2 linked regions of the Lonchura striata genome follow. The main gene of each other region encodes a partner of the protein of the gene in region 2 in a complex. Links are inferred from orthologs where the notes say so. Each region holds a gene or a part of one and is shown on either strand. Other genes may lie near its edges.

What was found. Proteins that work in one complex are often made in the same cells at the same time.
Region 1: the proteins of SLC9A3 (region 2) and CHP1 are in contact, whole or in part, in a cryo-EM structure (PDB 7X2U), measured with the Homo sapiens proteins. The link is inferred for Lonchura striata from reciprocal best matches to the Homo sapiens genes SLC9A3 and CHP1. Residues at the interface, in NP_004165.2 of Homo sapiens: Tyr396, Arg397, Met398, Gln400, Glu402, Arg474, Leu475, Asn476, Glu477, Leu479, His480, Gly481, Arg482, Ala483, Phe484, Asp485, His486, Ile487, Leu488, Ser489, Ala490, Ile491, Glu492, Asp493, Ile494, Ser495, Gly496, Gln497, Asn501, Arg504; in NP_009167.1 of Homo sapiens: Arg30, Leu31, Arg34, Leu38, Lys40, Glu49, Phe51, Gln52, Arg53, Ile54, Glu56, Leu57, Ala58, Ile59, Asn60, Pro61, Leu62, Asp64, Ile66, Phe70, Phe83, Leu87, Phe90, Leu115, Phe117, Ala118, Leu121, Tyr122, Leu135, Leu139.

What each region holds. Positions count from the first base shown.
Region 1 is NC_134608.1:37,536,221-37,543,966, forward strand, and holds the start of CHP1 (calcineurin B homologous protein 1), read right to left. Parts: upstream 3,015-7,746; 5' UTR 2,853-3,014; coding exon 2,786-2,852; intron 1-2,785. UniProt on the Homo sapiens protein: Calcium-binding protein involved in different processes such as regulation of vesicular trafficking, plasma membrane Na(+)/H(+) exchanger and gene transcription. Involved in the constitutive exocytic membrane traffic.
Region 2 is NC_134603.1:84,099,174-84,106,268, forward strand, and holds the start of SLC9A3 (sodium/hydrogen exchanger 3), read right to left. Parts: upstream 3,021-7,095; 5' UTR 2,875-3,020; coding exon 2,685-2,874; intron 1-2,684. UniProt on the Homo sapiens protein: Plasma membrane Na(+)/H(+) antiporter. Exchanges intracellular H(+) ions for extracellular Na(+) in 1:1 stoichiometry, playing a key role in salt and fluid absorption and pH homeostasis.

The sequences.
Region 1 (7,746 bases), on a different chromosome or scaffold from region 2:
TTAGACAGTCTACAACAGTAGCATAAACTCATATAAAAATATTTATATGCTTAGAAAAATATATAAATATCCATTAGAAAAATCAATTATGTGCTACTAAGCAAACATTTTTTTCTCCTAAATTAATGTATAAGCATTAATTTATTATTAATCCTTAGGTAGAGCGCTTCAAAGCATGGAAACAAAGGGTGTGAACCAAATAATTTGAATACTGTTACATTCCAACAGCTTTCCAAAAGCTTGCAACAGAATGCAGACAAACAACATCTTGGGCCTCTCATCTTTTTTTTTATTTTTTATAGTTGTTACTGAAATATCAAAGCAATTAGGATGACTTCAAGGTGTTTTCATGCTCAAATTTCAAAATGTTTATATGCAAAGCAAATGATTTCTAGATAACATCATGTGAGATTTAGGACTGTCAACTTCAGGCTTCGCACCTGCTGCTGAGAACCTCATGCATTACCTTTGCACGTGACTGAACTTATGCTACAAAGTGCTTTTCACTACCACAAAAAAAAAAATAGAATTTTAATCCAAGCATATTTCATTCAACAGATTGTGTCATTGCATAGCTTTTTAAAGACTATGCTTCTAGTGCCCTAAAAGACATGCTCTTTATGTCTGTTCTGCTGAAGAACATTAACATACAGTTTCTCACTCATGCCAGTATCATTAGATATTCAGTTTTGTGCTACATGAAATTGAGCAGAAGTTACATAATTCCACAGTTGAACTCAATCGAATTGTTTAAGTGTTCTAAGTGCTTCACACCTACCCCAGATGAACTGTAGAAAACACATTTCACAGTAAAGAGGCCAAAAAGGAATCCTTGGGAACACTTATCAGACCATCAGTTCAAGATGGACTTTTAATGCTGACAGATTTTTTTTATGTCTACGAAGTCCCTTTCTCAAACTCTTCAGTAGCTAAAGTACCATCAGCGTCAAGTTTCCAACAGACCACAGAAGTCTATTCAGTAACACTACCTTAGCAATCTGCCTGTGAACTTTGATCTAGATAACCAGAGTTTATTTGGGTTTTTTCATCACCTTGTATAAATATTTTCACCTATATGAAGTGTATAACTGTGATAATAACTTGGTGGAATTTTCCATCTACCTAGAGAAGCACAAAAAGCAGAAAAAAATGACATTCCTGAACTGCAGTTACAGACTGGGGAGAAGAAGAAAATTATTGATAAAGTCAATGAGACACACTGTGATTATTTACAAGCAAGCATGAGTCAGAGAGCAATGGTTGGTTAACAAAGTGGTATTAATTATAAAATTTACTAGATTAAAACACGGGAAAACGAACACACATCAGGTCACAAAGCTGAAACCCACCAGTCATAACTTTGCTCATCCTCTGATGATACAAGAAAAGCATTTAGAGGCTAACTAGAGTCAAGTGGATTTATTGCATACAGTGCCTATATAGCCATCTTAATGGTATTTATTTAACTATCACGTAAGTAAACATTAAGGAATAAAACACCACAGACAATAAATTAAGTAGTAGCATGAGGAAAAATGTAAAGCCTTCTGGAAAAATATTCCAGATTTGGGGTTTGGATTTTGAAGCATCTTTATAAATGAGAGGATGCTACCTTTACTCCATGATCTTTGTTATTAAAAAGAAAAAACAATAGAAAGTTATTGCTGAATAAACAGACATTCCTACTTGTTTATCACCACATTTCATGACAGATGGAAAAAGGATCATGGAAAATATATTAACTCACTCAGCCTGCCACTACAGTAGTTCCAGTGACGTTTTAATCTTCTACTCTTTTTCTGTAGCCACTCATTTTCCGGACACAAATAAACTAACACTTAAGAAGAATATATGATACCATGTATATTGGAAAGAAAACTGAAGAAAGCATTTTCAAGTAGAAAGAATAGATCAGAAGGTATATTCAGAAGAAAAATTGTCAGCTGGGCACAGCATGTTAACGTGAGAAGTTTCCTGGGGAAACAAACAGCAAAGTGATACCTGTGATGTGATGACCTCTGCTCTCCAGATAGTTAGGAAGGCATCCTCCATTTATTATCATTTGCTGGAACTCTCAGGCAATCATTCTATCAGGCAAATTAACAACACTGGAATTTCACCTTCTCTAAGGTACTTTATGCAGAACAACTTCATCATACCGTAGGGTAAAGTATCTAAATATTAGAGTCCAGCTTAAATAATGCTCTCCCAGTTGCTGACTAGTACAGGAATTTTCACTTCTTTTTAGTTTTTAACACTTACCTCTCGTGAGTTACATTACTTCCTTTACGGTTTAAATGCCACACAGCATTCATTCCGAGTACCCTTACGGCAACTTTAGCACTAGCCCATGAAACAAATAACACTTTGGGGAAAAAAATTACTATCCAACGACAGTTTCCTTGGGTTAAAACCTGAGAGAAACTCCGGCATCAGGCATCGAGACAGACAACTCTTCAAAACCCAAGGAGTTATCTCTGACCGAATACACTACTGCACACACCAAGAGCGCTGCTTCCCTTCAGTCCCACTGGGATCCCGCAGCTGCTACCGGCAGCAGCGGTGGGGGGGAACCGGGAGGCGCTTCCCAGGCTCCCGCGGGCCTGCCAGCCGTGCCCGGCCCCGGGGCTGCGGGTGGCGGGGAGCGGGCTCTGCCCCGGCGCGACCGCCGCGGCCGGAGCGGGGCACGGCCTGCCCGGCCCCGCTCCGGCCGCCGGCCCCGCTCCGGCCGCCGGCCCCGCGCTACCTCCCGCCCCGCCCCGCCGCACTCAGGCCCCGCACTCACAGCCCGTCTCCTTCTTGATCTCCTCGATCTCCTCGTCCCGCAGCAGAGTGGACGCCCGGGAACCCATCGCCGCGGCTGGGCCCGAGGGGAAGGGAAGGGAGGGGCCGGGGGAAGAGCTACGCAGCCGAACAGCAGCGACGGCGGCGCCACAGCCGCCCGGCACAGGCCCGAGCGCGGCCGCCCCTGCTCTGAGGCGGAAGGCGAGCGCGCACCGACTGCCGCGGCCCCGCCCGCCGCCTCCGCCCGGCCCCGCCCGACCCCGCCCGGCGGCCGCCCACGGGCCCCGCGCACGCGTGTGGAAAACTGCGATATTCCTGTAGGCGGCGGGAGAGCGGGCGATGGAAGTGCCTGCCACGGTGCTTCCTTCCCAAGCGGATAGCGGCGCCCGGTTCTGCGGGCTTGCTTTGTTTTGCAAATCGCAGAATCACACAGTGGGTGAGGTTGGAAGGGACCGCAGTGGGTCAGCTGGTCCAAGCTCCCTGCTCAAGCAGCACTTGGCACAGGATCCCATCTAGATGATTCTTGAGTATCTCCAGTGAGGGAGACTTTACAACCTCTATGGGCAGCCTGTTCCAGTGCATGGTCACCCACACAATATTTTTTCCTCATGTTTAGGTGGAACTTCTGTGCATCCATTTCTGCCCATTGCCTCTTGTCCTGTTGCTTAGCACCGCTGAGGAGAGCTTGGCTCCATCCTCTGACACCTTCCCTTCAGATACTGATAGACATTGAAGAAGTCCACACTCAATCATCTCTTCCCAAGGCCAAACAGGCCCAGCTCCCTCAGCCTTTGCTCATAAGAGAGAAGCTCCAGCTGACCATTCATCCTCATTGAACTCCACTGGTTGCTGCGGGAGCTCCACTTCTCTCTTGTACTGAGGAGCCAAGAACTGAACACACCTCTTCTAATATTAGCAGTCACACCAGGGCTGAGTAGAGGAGCAGAATCAATCCCCTCGATCTGCTGGCAGTGCTCTTCCTAGTGCACAGGACACCGTTGGCCTTCTTGGCCACAAGGGCATTGCTGGCTCATAGCTTGTTGTCCAACAGGACCCCCAGGTCTTTCTCTGCAGAGCTACTTTCCAGCAGGTCAGTGGTAATGATAAGCTTTTACCCCAGAGAGTGGAACCTGATGTATGTCTCTATTTTTTCCCCTCCTTCATGTCAGTGAAGAACTTGGAAACTGGCAGAAGCACTCCAGGATTAAGGATAATTTTTGGTCATGGAATAGTCAATGGTGAGGCTTCGCTTATTGCATTTTGGGGCAGGGGGGTCATGCCCACCAATAGTTCAGCATTTTAAATCCCTTTTGGGTCACATCTGAATTATTCAGTTTTATTTTTTCCTCCTAAAATCAGCAGGAATTAGAATGGTGTCTAGATCACACAGCTTTTGTTCCCCAGTTATCTATAAATGAAATAATAATAACATCAGCTCATTTTGGGAAGGTCTTGGGACTGTATTGCATTAAAGCTTACTGGTTAAATAACAATGGTTAATGTCCAATGAGACTGCTAATGAAAGTAACTCCTCCAAAGGTATTCAGTTGAGATAAGAGTGCCCCCTGTTTACATCTTTAAGGCAAGTTCATTGTATGTTGCTGTACATGTGCATGACTTTCCCTTATGGACTGTGCTGGGAAGTTAAAATGTTTAAAGTTCATGTTAATTTGGTCTTACTTTTATTCACACAGGCAAAAACATCTCTATTAAATGATCTGTTTATCTGAGCCTTTTTCACTAATGACATAAATATGGAAGTATTTAAGAAAAGCATTTCTAATGTATAAAGGTCCTGTGCATTTCTATTGGCATCTGCTTTGTTTTGGGGATAGGAGCAAAGTGCCGAGGGCCAACTAGCTAGAAGGCATCTACTGGACTTACCAAGTGATTAACTTACTTCATTCTGCCTTTTTTTATGTACTTGCTTTAGTCTATATCCAATAGTCTGTAAATTTATTAGTTGTAGTTCAATGCTGGCTTTGTTTCTGATGGGATGCTTAAGTCATTAGACTTAACTAGTCTTTAACAAGTGTCCAAACATTGATTTTCAGCACTAGAATGTAAATTGTTTCTGTTATTGAATTAACCAGATTCGGGGAAGGGAACAGCAATGCTTTTTGAGTCTATTGAAATACTTCCTTTCTTTCACAGGAGGAGAAGGGACGGGAGGTACATGTTAGGGGAACCACAACTGACATTGACTATAAATCTCATTTTCAAACTCAGTTGTGCTAAGTTTGTTTTCCTCAGCTCTGAAAAGGTGAACAAGGTGGTGGGTATAAGGCTTCTTCCAAGGAAAAAGTCTCCTCCAAGGTATTGTTTACGATTCTCTCTTTTTTTAGTTTTGGTTGATTGGTTGGTTTTGGTTTTTGTTTCTTGTTTCCTGGTAGTGTTCCTAGGTAGAAGAATTTCCTTGGTTTGTTTTCTTGTCAGCTTGTGGTTTCAGGGAAAATTTCCTATGAGCATTTCACCTGTGGTGGAACAGTTCCAGAACAATTGCACGGAGAAGTCAGAGTTATAGAGATGCTCTCAAAACCTTTATAAGTGTGTCTTCAGAAAGCTAGTAAAAATATACTTCAAACTCCTGCAGAGCCATGCTCCTAAATGCTTCTCACAAGACCACATTTTAATAGTTTATTCAAATATTGTTGGAATCCTGGATGCTGAGAATTTAAAACTTTCTGTGCTTAAAGACACAGACCCACAGGAGAACACTACATTTGTCCTGAGGTTGTGGAACAGGCTTTTAAAATTTATAAATAGCACTGGGATTACAGGTGTGCAGGTGGTTAGAAGTCTGTAATATCACTGGGTGGAAAACTTAGAGTTTGGGATTTTAGAATATAGAAATAAATATGAAGCAAGATGGAGGTTTTAGGGCAGAGGCAGGTTGTTCTTCTTCCTTCTTCATGGGTTTGGGTGGTGTTTTGTGACTGAACAGAAAAGTCCACATTGCGGACTTCAAGGGATCAGTTATTGGGTTAAAAGGGAAAATAATCTAGGTGTCCTTTCTTAATTGGATAGTTTAGTTTTAAAAGAACTTGTAACAAGAGTTAGCCATTTTGTGCCTTGCTAATGAAAAAGCTGCCAAACTCACAGTACTGAGACTGTAACATAGATAAGAAATAATAAACACCTGAGTCTGAACATGAAATACTGTCTCAAGTGCCTTTAATCCCAACCTCGAGAAATTGATAAAATATTGTATTTCTTCTTATGGTCCTCTGATGTTACCATTTTTTATGATTTTAGTAACTTCTATTTGACTACAGTAAAGTTTCAGTGATGCAACTGATGCAACTGAAACTTTTTTTCATATTGTTGAGCTTGTATAATTGCCCTCCAATTACTCTACCTAACTAATAGTTGAAATATTATTGATTCAGGGTAAAGACCTACAGATATTTAATTTGCATTGTTCTTGGGCTCTGGTCAGGTACTTCATTCTTTGTACCTTGAACTGCAGTTTACCTTAAGACTGTTGCTGATCTTTGCAGTGAACATCTGTTCAGGTTCTGCTTTCACCTTATATTTTCAGAATAAATGTGAAATTTTATCTGAGATAAGGGCTTTTTTGTGGAAAATAAGCTTATGGTTGGCTAGCTTCAGGGTCTTCTGTAAGAACCGCTGAATTAAGGAGTTGCTTCATATGCAGCAGTTCATTTTCTGAACAGAGGCAGAGGGTATTGCATTAAATATTTCTCTTTCACATTGCACCAGCATGAACATTTTAATAATGTTTTGACTTCTGTGTTAGGTTTGGTTGTCTTGCTTGCTCAGGTGCACTTTAAGCTGAAGAAGTGAACAAACAAGCAGACACAGAACCAAGCAGATTGTGGCTCATGGAGTTCTCCCTGTGTTTCCTTAGAGAGCCATCTCAGGGCCTCAGATAGCTCAAAATATTCCCTCTGAGGTAATGTGGATATTAGCCAAGAAATGTACTTCGTGTTTGTCAGACAGCATTTTTCCCACAGATTGTTATCTCTTGGTTTGTCTGTATCAGAACAAGATGTATTCTGAGAGAACAATGGTAACAGAAAGGTAAGTACAGACCTTGTTATCAGCAGACATCAGAGGGAAACTGGCCTGTTTTCCAAAATGTTTATCCTGTAGCTCTTACCAACTGTAAAGGTGGCTGAGGAGTGCAACTGATCTTTTGGAGAAATCAAAGTGCTTCAGCCGGTGAGCATTCCTCTTGGTGACTATTTTAATCTTATACTTGTTCCTGAAACATACGTGGCATGACAGATAACTCAAAGCTCAGTAAGTCAATTTGTAGGCACACAGTTTGTGGTCATTGGGAGTGGGGCTGTGGCTGAGCCTCATCCCCAGTGGGCTACAGCTGTGAGAAGCAGGGGAGCAGCACTGACAGCAATGAGCCATGGAGAGCCCAGGTGCATTGACCAACCACCAAAGGGAACAGAAGGCACACAGGTGCACTCCATGAACAATGAGGGGTATAAAAGGTTGGGCTGAAGAACAAGAAGGGCAGATGCTTGTAGCCTTCTGATATGGTATGGTGTTACTCTGGGTGAATGCTTACAGTCTTCTGAAATTGTGTGGTGATGCTCTTGTGTATTGTGGCTATCTACACTGTGGTATATGCTGCAACAACTATTGCCCTTTGGATTTGTGCTGGCTGTCAGGTGCTGATTTGGTTGTATGGTTCCTGCTCTGACACATATGCAGGTGTGTACTTATACAGGCACAGATCCAAAATCAGCTTCTTCTGTTCTCAGGGAATGGTGGCAAGAGTGCAAGGGCTGTATAGACTAAAGAACAGGTAGTTGCATTTACCTGGCTAATGGGATTGAAAATGGAATCATAGAATGGTTTGGCTTGGAGGGGACCTTAAAGATCATCTAGGTCTAGAGACACCTTGTATAAGACCAGATTGCTTAGAGCTCCACCCAGCAGCTTTGGTTGTGAACCCCCCCAGCAGGGGTTGTGTACCTGTTG
Region 2 (7,095 bases):
TCTCCTAATACAAAATGCTTCCCCCAGTCATATAACATCATGAAGTGAAAGTTGTTTATTACAAAACCCCTGAACTTCCACAGAAATGAAACAAATCTTAAAAAAAAAAAACAAAACCAACAAAAACCCAAATAAACACAAAACCACTAATGCTATTCTAATTCAAGAGAAATCAAAGTATTCTCATATACCTTTATCCCCAGGTACAAGCTGCAATTCTTAGAACATTTTCTAATGACCCAGTTGTCTATCATCCATCAGTAAAATAACTCCCAATCCCTGTAGTCATGGAGAAATGAGCTTGCATGTGTAAGAACAGCTCCTTCCCTGCTGAAAAACCTACAGTAAAACCAGCACTTTCACACCACTACAACTGATCTGCTTCAGGTAGTAAAGAAACCCAAGGACAGATGTTCTGTTTTCTTTCTTGCTTCTTTTTGGTCTGCTTTTTGAAAATGTAAACTTTCTTTGATCCAGCACAGGACTTTTTCAATTCAAAATCTCATAGATTTCTGACCTACTTCCCAAAACCCTTGACACACCAAGGCAAACAGAAGGCTGAAAAGCTATTTTTTCCCTTTCTCGCTTACATGAACACCTTCATTAAATGATTTCTTTTAATGATTCTTTTAAATGATTCATTTAATGATTTCTTCATTAAAAAGGTGTTGAACAGTGAGTGTACATTCTTGCTTTTCTGTGTGTTATTTGTGACTGGTAGGGAAAGCATAGACATTTGTAGGCTCTCAGGGGAATACAGCAGTTATCCATTGCTTCTTCAGAAACTATGCCCAGAGAAATATAGGATCAAAAATGCAAAGGTGAAGAGAGAGACAAATGAAGCTTGAGAGCTTTGGGGAAGAAAAGTGATAGAGCTGATGATAGGTATGATCTTCTAATGAGTGACATGCTCTGTGCAGCTGTTTTAAGAATTTAAAAAGAATTTAAAAACAGTATCAGCACCACAACAGTAAGCACCTTATCAAGAGTTTATATCAAGGACTTCACAGTAAAATGGCTCATATTAATCTCAACCAATCTCAATCCATGCCATTGCAATTGAAATATAGTACAATCTAACTGTCCTCTTCTTGGGTTCAGTGGCATTAGACACAAACTGATATGGTTGTGCACCACTAATACACTACACTGTACAACTGGGCCACATGTACCGAACAGCAAAGCCTAAATAGCACAAGGTCTTAATAACTATACTTACTTAGAAGAGTATCTCAAAAAGAAGGTTCAAACAAGCAGCCTGTTTATTACTTTGTTCAGCACAATTTTATATGTACTCAGTTGTCAGTTGTTTCCTGTATATGGTTTCCTCAGCTTCGTAATTGCTATAACTCATCAATAAAAGTAAAGTAAAACACAATTGTCTGTTATGTAATCTAGGTGATGCAGCACGTGTCTGAAGACAAACTATTTGCATAGTGTAGTCAAACAGGTTCAGATAAAGGTATTTAGTAATATATCTATGGTTAATCAAGTAAAAGCCAAGATGCAAATACTGCTGGAAAATTATGTACAATATCACTCCAACTTGTAACACACTACTCTTTAAAATGCTGGTTTTTTTTTTTTTTTTTTTTGTGTTTGGAGACAGCATTTTCCATTCAGGTCTTATTATGCTTGGCTTATGTGCTAGATAAGATATACCTAAGTATACCTTTTTACATCTTTCATTCTCTGTGGCATGAAAAATCTACAGAATGTGATTCTGGTATACCAAATTAGTATTAACAGTACAAGTTCAGAAAAGTCCTCAGTTGGATTTTCAGCTGACCTTCTGAGATGAGACTGATTATAGAAAATATTTATTTTAAATGAAAATGTCATTTACAGTATCAGCCAAACTGGAGATGTGTTTTTAGATATCCAAAGTCAAAAGGTCTGAAAGTAATAGCATCAACCAAGTAAAACACATTCTAATTAAACGGCGACTTTTCTCATTCAGCAAACTGCATTATTGATACAAGATCTCTTTTGGAAAAGTCACAAAGTTCAGAACACAAGAGTTGGACCATTCATATAAATTAATTTAAACTACACTGAAGTTAGGTTAAGTCCTGGCTTTTCACTTACTCCAATTTCTTGAAGAAAATTCTGGGTGCTCTAAAGCTTTTTTTTTTTTTCAGGTACATCAGATGGTCTGATAATACATACTGTCTTTCTCTATAAAGGATGCTCTTTCACTGATCCAGCAATGCACTTCAAAACAGAGAATGTTAAGCTCATATGTGCAGTTTGCATTGGTTATTTTTGATGTTACCAACTGATATAGCTAACGACTATAATCAGAAGAAAAGCATATCATAAAGTGCAATAGATATTGTGTAAGCAGTAAGGCCCGATTTCTGTTTCACTTTTGCAAAAAGTTTTTCCTGGGAGCAAGAGGAATGCAAGGTCTCAGGGAATTGAAAGGGCTTACAAGGAGTCAGATGCAGAAGACAGAGTCGTGGGCGGTGAAAATGAACTGGGTAACCCCTCGAGGCTGGTGAAAATCACACTGCTAAGCACCGTGTAGGGCAGTATTATGAAATCAGGACAGAGTACAGTAAACCCCCTGAAAACGGGTCCGCGGACCTATGATAAGCTTTCTTCATTTACGCTGGGTGGGAGAAGGGCAAGGGGGAAGGGAAAGGGAGAGGACATGTATTAATATATAACTCCAGACTTACCGATTTTGGCCAAGCTAGCCACGAGTATCCAGAGTGCAATGATATAGGGCTCCTTGACGTGATCCCATTTGAAAGAGACGATGGCAAAGCTTTGGTTGCTATTCTTATGGCTTTCCGAGCTTCTCTGTCCCAGCGCCGCTGGGAGAGCCATCAGCCCCAGGAGGAGCGCCACTCCAGATACTTGCCTCATCTTCAAGCCACACTACGAAATCCTGCTTCCCCTTCCCGGAGAGATCCCGCCTCTTCGGAGGTCCTTGGGGGCGAGGTCCTTGTCCTTTCGCAGAGACAAGCCCGACGGCTCAGGACGGCGGGACAGCGGCGCGCGCGGCCGGCGGCGGCAGGGTCCCCTGTGTCCCCTCCTGTCCCGCCCCGCGCGGGGTGGCGAAGGACGGCTCAGGGGCTCCGTGCACAAGCAGATGCTTCGAGCCGGGGTCCCGCTGCTCGCCCGCACCTGCCTTTATCAGGCCGTTCCCGATCGGGCGGAGGCGGAGCCTCCGCCGCTCCCGCAGAGGCTGCCGTGCGGGGACGGCGATGCCCCGGCTGACGGAGCGCCCGGGGGTCGGCGGGCAGCTCCGCTCAGCTCCGCTCGGCCGCGGGGCCAGCCGCAGGCTCTGGGCTGTGTCCGTGCGGCCCCGGGCAGCTGGGCAGCGAACAGCAGCGGCCGGAGCTGCTGGCGCTCGGAGCCGGGACCGGGACGCTCTCGAGGGCATGTCCTAGGGGAGCCCGGGGTCCGCGTCCACACCGGAGCCGGGTGCGCGGGACATCCGCGGGCCTCAGTTCGGGCACTTTGGATGCTTTTGTATCAGCTTCCTCCTCCCAGCCCCACTCTCCCGACAGGTTGTCACAGAGAAAACGCACTCTTGTCTGCTTCTCAGCCTCGAGTACCCTTCTGAGGTCGATCTAGCACACCGAGGGCGCAGCAGCACGTTTCTCAGACCAGCTTTTCCTTCTGTCCACCAGAGAGCACCTCTTCCCACGATGCTCCGGGAAAGGACACCAGCAGGCAACATTAGGCTTTTCACTTAGGTCTGCTTACAGCTGTTTGTTCAGATGTGGTGTATTAAAAACGCTATGTGTTTTTGCTTGTTTCTAATGCTTACACCTCGACACCTTTTAGGAGGTTCTACTCTCCCGCTAAAGCCTGTTTTCCTGCTGATAACATTTGCCTGCTATCCTGGATGGTCCATGTTATCATGGGTCCATGGCGCTGCAGGGAAACGGACACATGATAATCACCACCTTGCCACTAAAAGGACAACAAAGCATCCTGTTCCCGACAGGCAGAGCTGAGGTCGCCTTTCCACACACCTCAGCAACAGCAGCAGCAGCTCCTCTCCACTCTTGTGTACTCCAAAACAATCAGTGTGCAGTCCGCTCCTTCTGTGACTGTCTGTGGAAAAACACTTCCTGTTTGTTTTTCTAATATAACAACTGGTTTTATTAGAGGTAAAAAAATGAACAGGACTCCTTTAACTCCTTTAAAATTATTGGAAGACAAAGAAATATTTTTATTATTTCAATCACTAAGGAGAAAACCTACACACTTTTTCATAGTCATCTGTCCTGCACAGACGCTCCAGAAAAAAATTAGCTAGTTAATTAACTCTATAAGTTTCCATGGAATGTTATGGTCATTATTACCTCAAAGCAAGCACAGCCCCCAAATTGGACCAACTGTGTTCAAACAATGAAACATCTTGGGGACTTTCTTTCCTTCTTCTTTATTTAAGTGAAAGGAAGCTATGTGGGAAGTTCTTTAAATGGAAGTAAATCTGAAGACAAAATTGGCAAGTCTTTTTAGGATGCATGACACATAGCAAAATATCTCCTTTACATTCAGTAAATGTTGTAAACAAAGACCTGGAGAGTTTTTCAGTGTCTAACAACAAATTCTATCTACGTTTTTTTACCTTTTTCAGAGCATGACTTGGGCACCCAAATGTTGTTTAGAATTTGCTCCTAATCTCTGTGACTGTCCCACAACTAGCTGTAGCCAATGCCTAAGCAACATTTTTTTGGATTGCCAGTCGAGAGAGAAAACTGTAGCTGGAAGTAGGTAGCTGCTGATCATTTATGTAACCTGTTGCTGAGCTCCATGGAGAGTATTATTTCCTAGTCATTAACATGAATTCTGTTTGCTACTATTAGGAGAACCACAAACTTCAGTCGACAAGCTGTTGGCAGTGTTTTTACTGACACAATTTGTTCCAAGTATCCTCATACCACAATTCAATATTTCAGCTGCAGCTAGTAAAAGGGCACCACAACTGCCAGTATTCCATCTTACATTCATGATTCTTCCCAAATCTAGTTCCAAAAAATGCTGACTGGTTAGAAAAAAATCTTTCCATTGAAAGTGCTGAAGCTAGCCATGTTGTCCAGATGGTAATTATTAAATGTGTCATAGATCAAGAATACCTGCAGCAGAGCAAGAAAAATGAGAAAACCTTCTCCAGTGGATCTCTTCTAGAGATAAGCAAAGGCTTGGAGGAGCAGCAGTTGAGATCATGCCTCTGATTGCCCACAGGCAATGTTCTACCCGTGAAAACAGTAACCAAAGTTACATGCCAATTCTGAGTTTGCTGGTGGAGTAAACCAGTATTAGGGGAAAAAAGTTGTCAGCACCATCTTCTAAAAACAAGGTTTAAAACACTGTTAAAATGCCAACACAGTATTTCTTTTAAGAACAACAAATTAATAGTTCAAAGTGCACTTGTGACTGCTTATAAAATATTTTTAAGTTGGCAGGGTGTCAAATGACTGTAAATATCAGGGAATTGTTGTGTGATTCATTAATATTTCAGCAGGACACAGAGAGGACATAGGAAGGGACTGACAATCATGAATTTCCAATAGGTACACCAATACATGTACAATAAACCAAGAGTCCACTGAGTACATGAGCTCATGTACAAAATATGTACCTGTACAAAATACATTTGCATATATGTATTTATTATCAGAGTCCATTTTCTTGTATGTTCTTTATGGAAGCCCTTACATAGTTTCCAATAACCTGACTCTGTATCAGTAACAAAAAAAATGGCTGAGTATTTATTATGCTTGCAATAAAGATATCATATCACAAAACAGCTGATATTTCCTGACTTCCAGAAAGATTGCACAAGGAAAATTTCTACTTACTGAAGAAATAATGGTGCTTTCTGAGCCTTCTATTTTTTTTTTCTTTTGGCAATTGATTGAACTCCAGCACTGTCATTTCTGGAAATACTGTGTACATAATGGCTTAAAGAAAAGAATTATGAGTATCTAAGTATTATACAAGTATCTTATATATACCCTTCACATGACCTGTGTCCTGTAAAGACTATTTCTTGGCAATTTTGTCAAAGCTAAGGTAAAAGACAATTTCAGTGAAAAAAATCCCTAAAATTGTATCTGTTTTCTCTGGAAAGCACACACAGTATTTCAGTTATGCTAATTTAGATGTAGAAGCTACAATTAACTTTTAATATTAGCATTTGTCAAAAATCTGTTTAAGGTGATATGAAATTAAGAAGCACATCATTGTCAAACTGAGAAATCTTATAAAAGGAAAAAGAAATTAATAAATAGCAAATATTTGGCAAGTGAAGCATGAAAAATCTCCTGATGCAATATAAATCATCATAAATCACTTATTATCACTCCTGTCTTTCCTCAAGAAAATGCACTTTTTTATATTAATGTCTATTAAATGTGTAAACAGGTTAAGATTTGAGTGGAATATAGTTCCGGTATATATTTTTATGCCATCATGCCAACTGTATACAAAGTTAAATAGAACAGTAGTTATTGTGAATGGAATTGTACCAATAGAACAGCACAGTTTTGTGAAAATTAATTCAGATTAATGCAGAACCACACAAATTTGTAGGGAATTTCTTGATTCAACAGCTAATATTTTGCCAACCACTCTCCAAGTTAAATGAGTGCTGCTGTGCAAGTTTATGCTGCAAGGAGTTGGACAAAAACTGCTGGACTAAGTGATGTTGCAGAGCACTGTGTTACAACATTATAAATATGAATCTCTGAAATTACATTAGAAAGTCTATTAATTCAGCCCACACACATTACTACCAGTTAAGGTGAACAAGATGAAGACTAGGGTGAGAATGAATTAATCAGACAGATAGTTGGAAATAGATTTGGATAGGAAGTAGGGTTGAAGAAGAAATTAGCTGAATTAATCATGACTCATTTCAAGAAAAGACTCACTTTAAGGATAGCAAGTGAAAGGGATTCTTCCCAGAACCTTCATTTTTAGCCTCAAATATTTTTGAAATTGTAAGACATTTTAGGCAGATTGTGAGGGGTTTTTGGTGTGTTGTTGTTGCTATTACTGTTTTTAATTAATCCCCCATTTATATTAGATTAGAAGCTAATCTAGCAGAAGTGGGAAGTACGAATG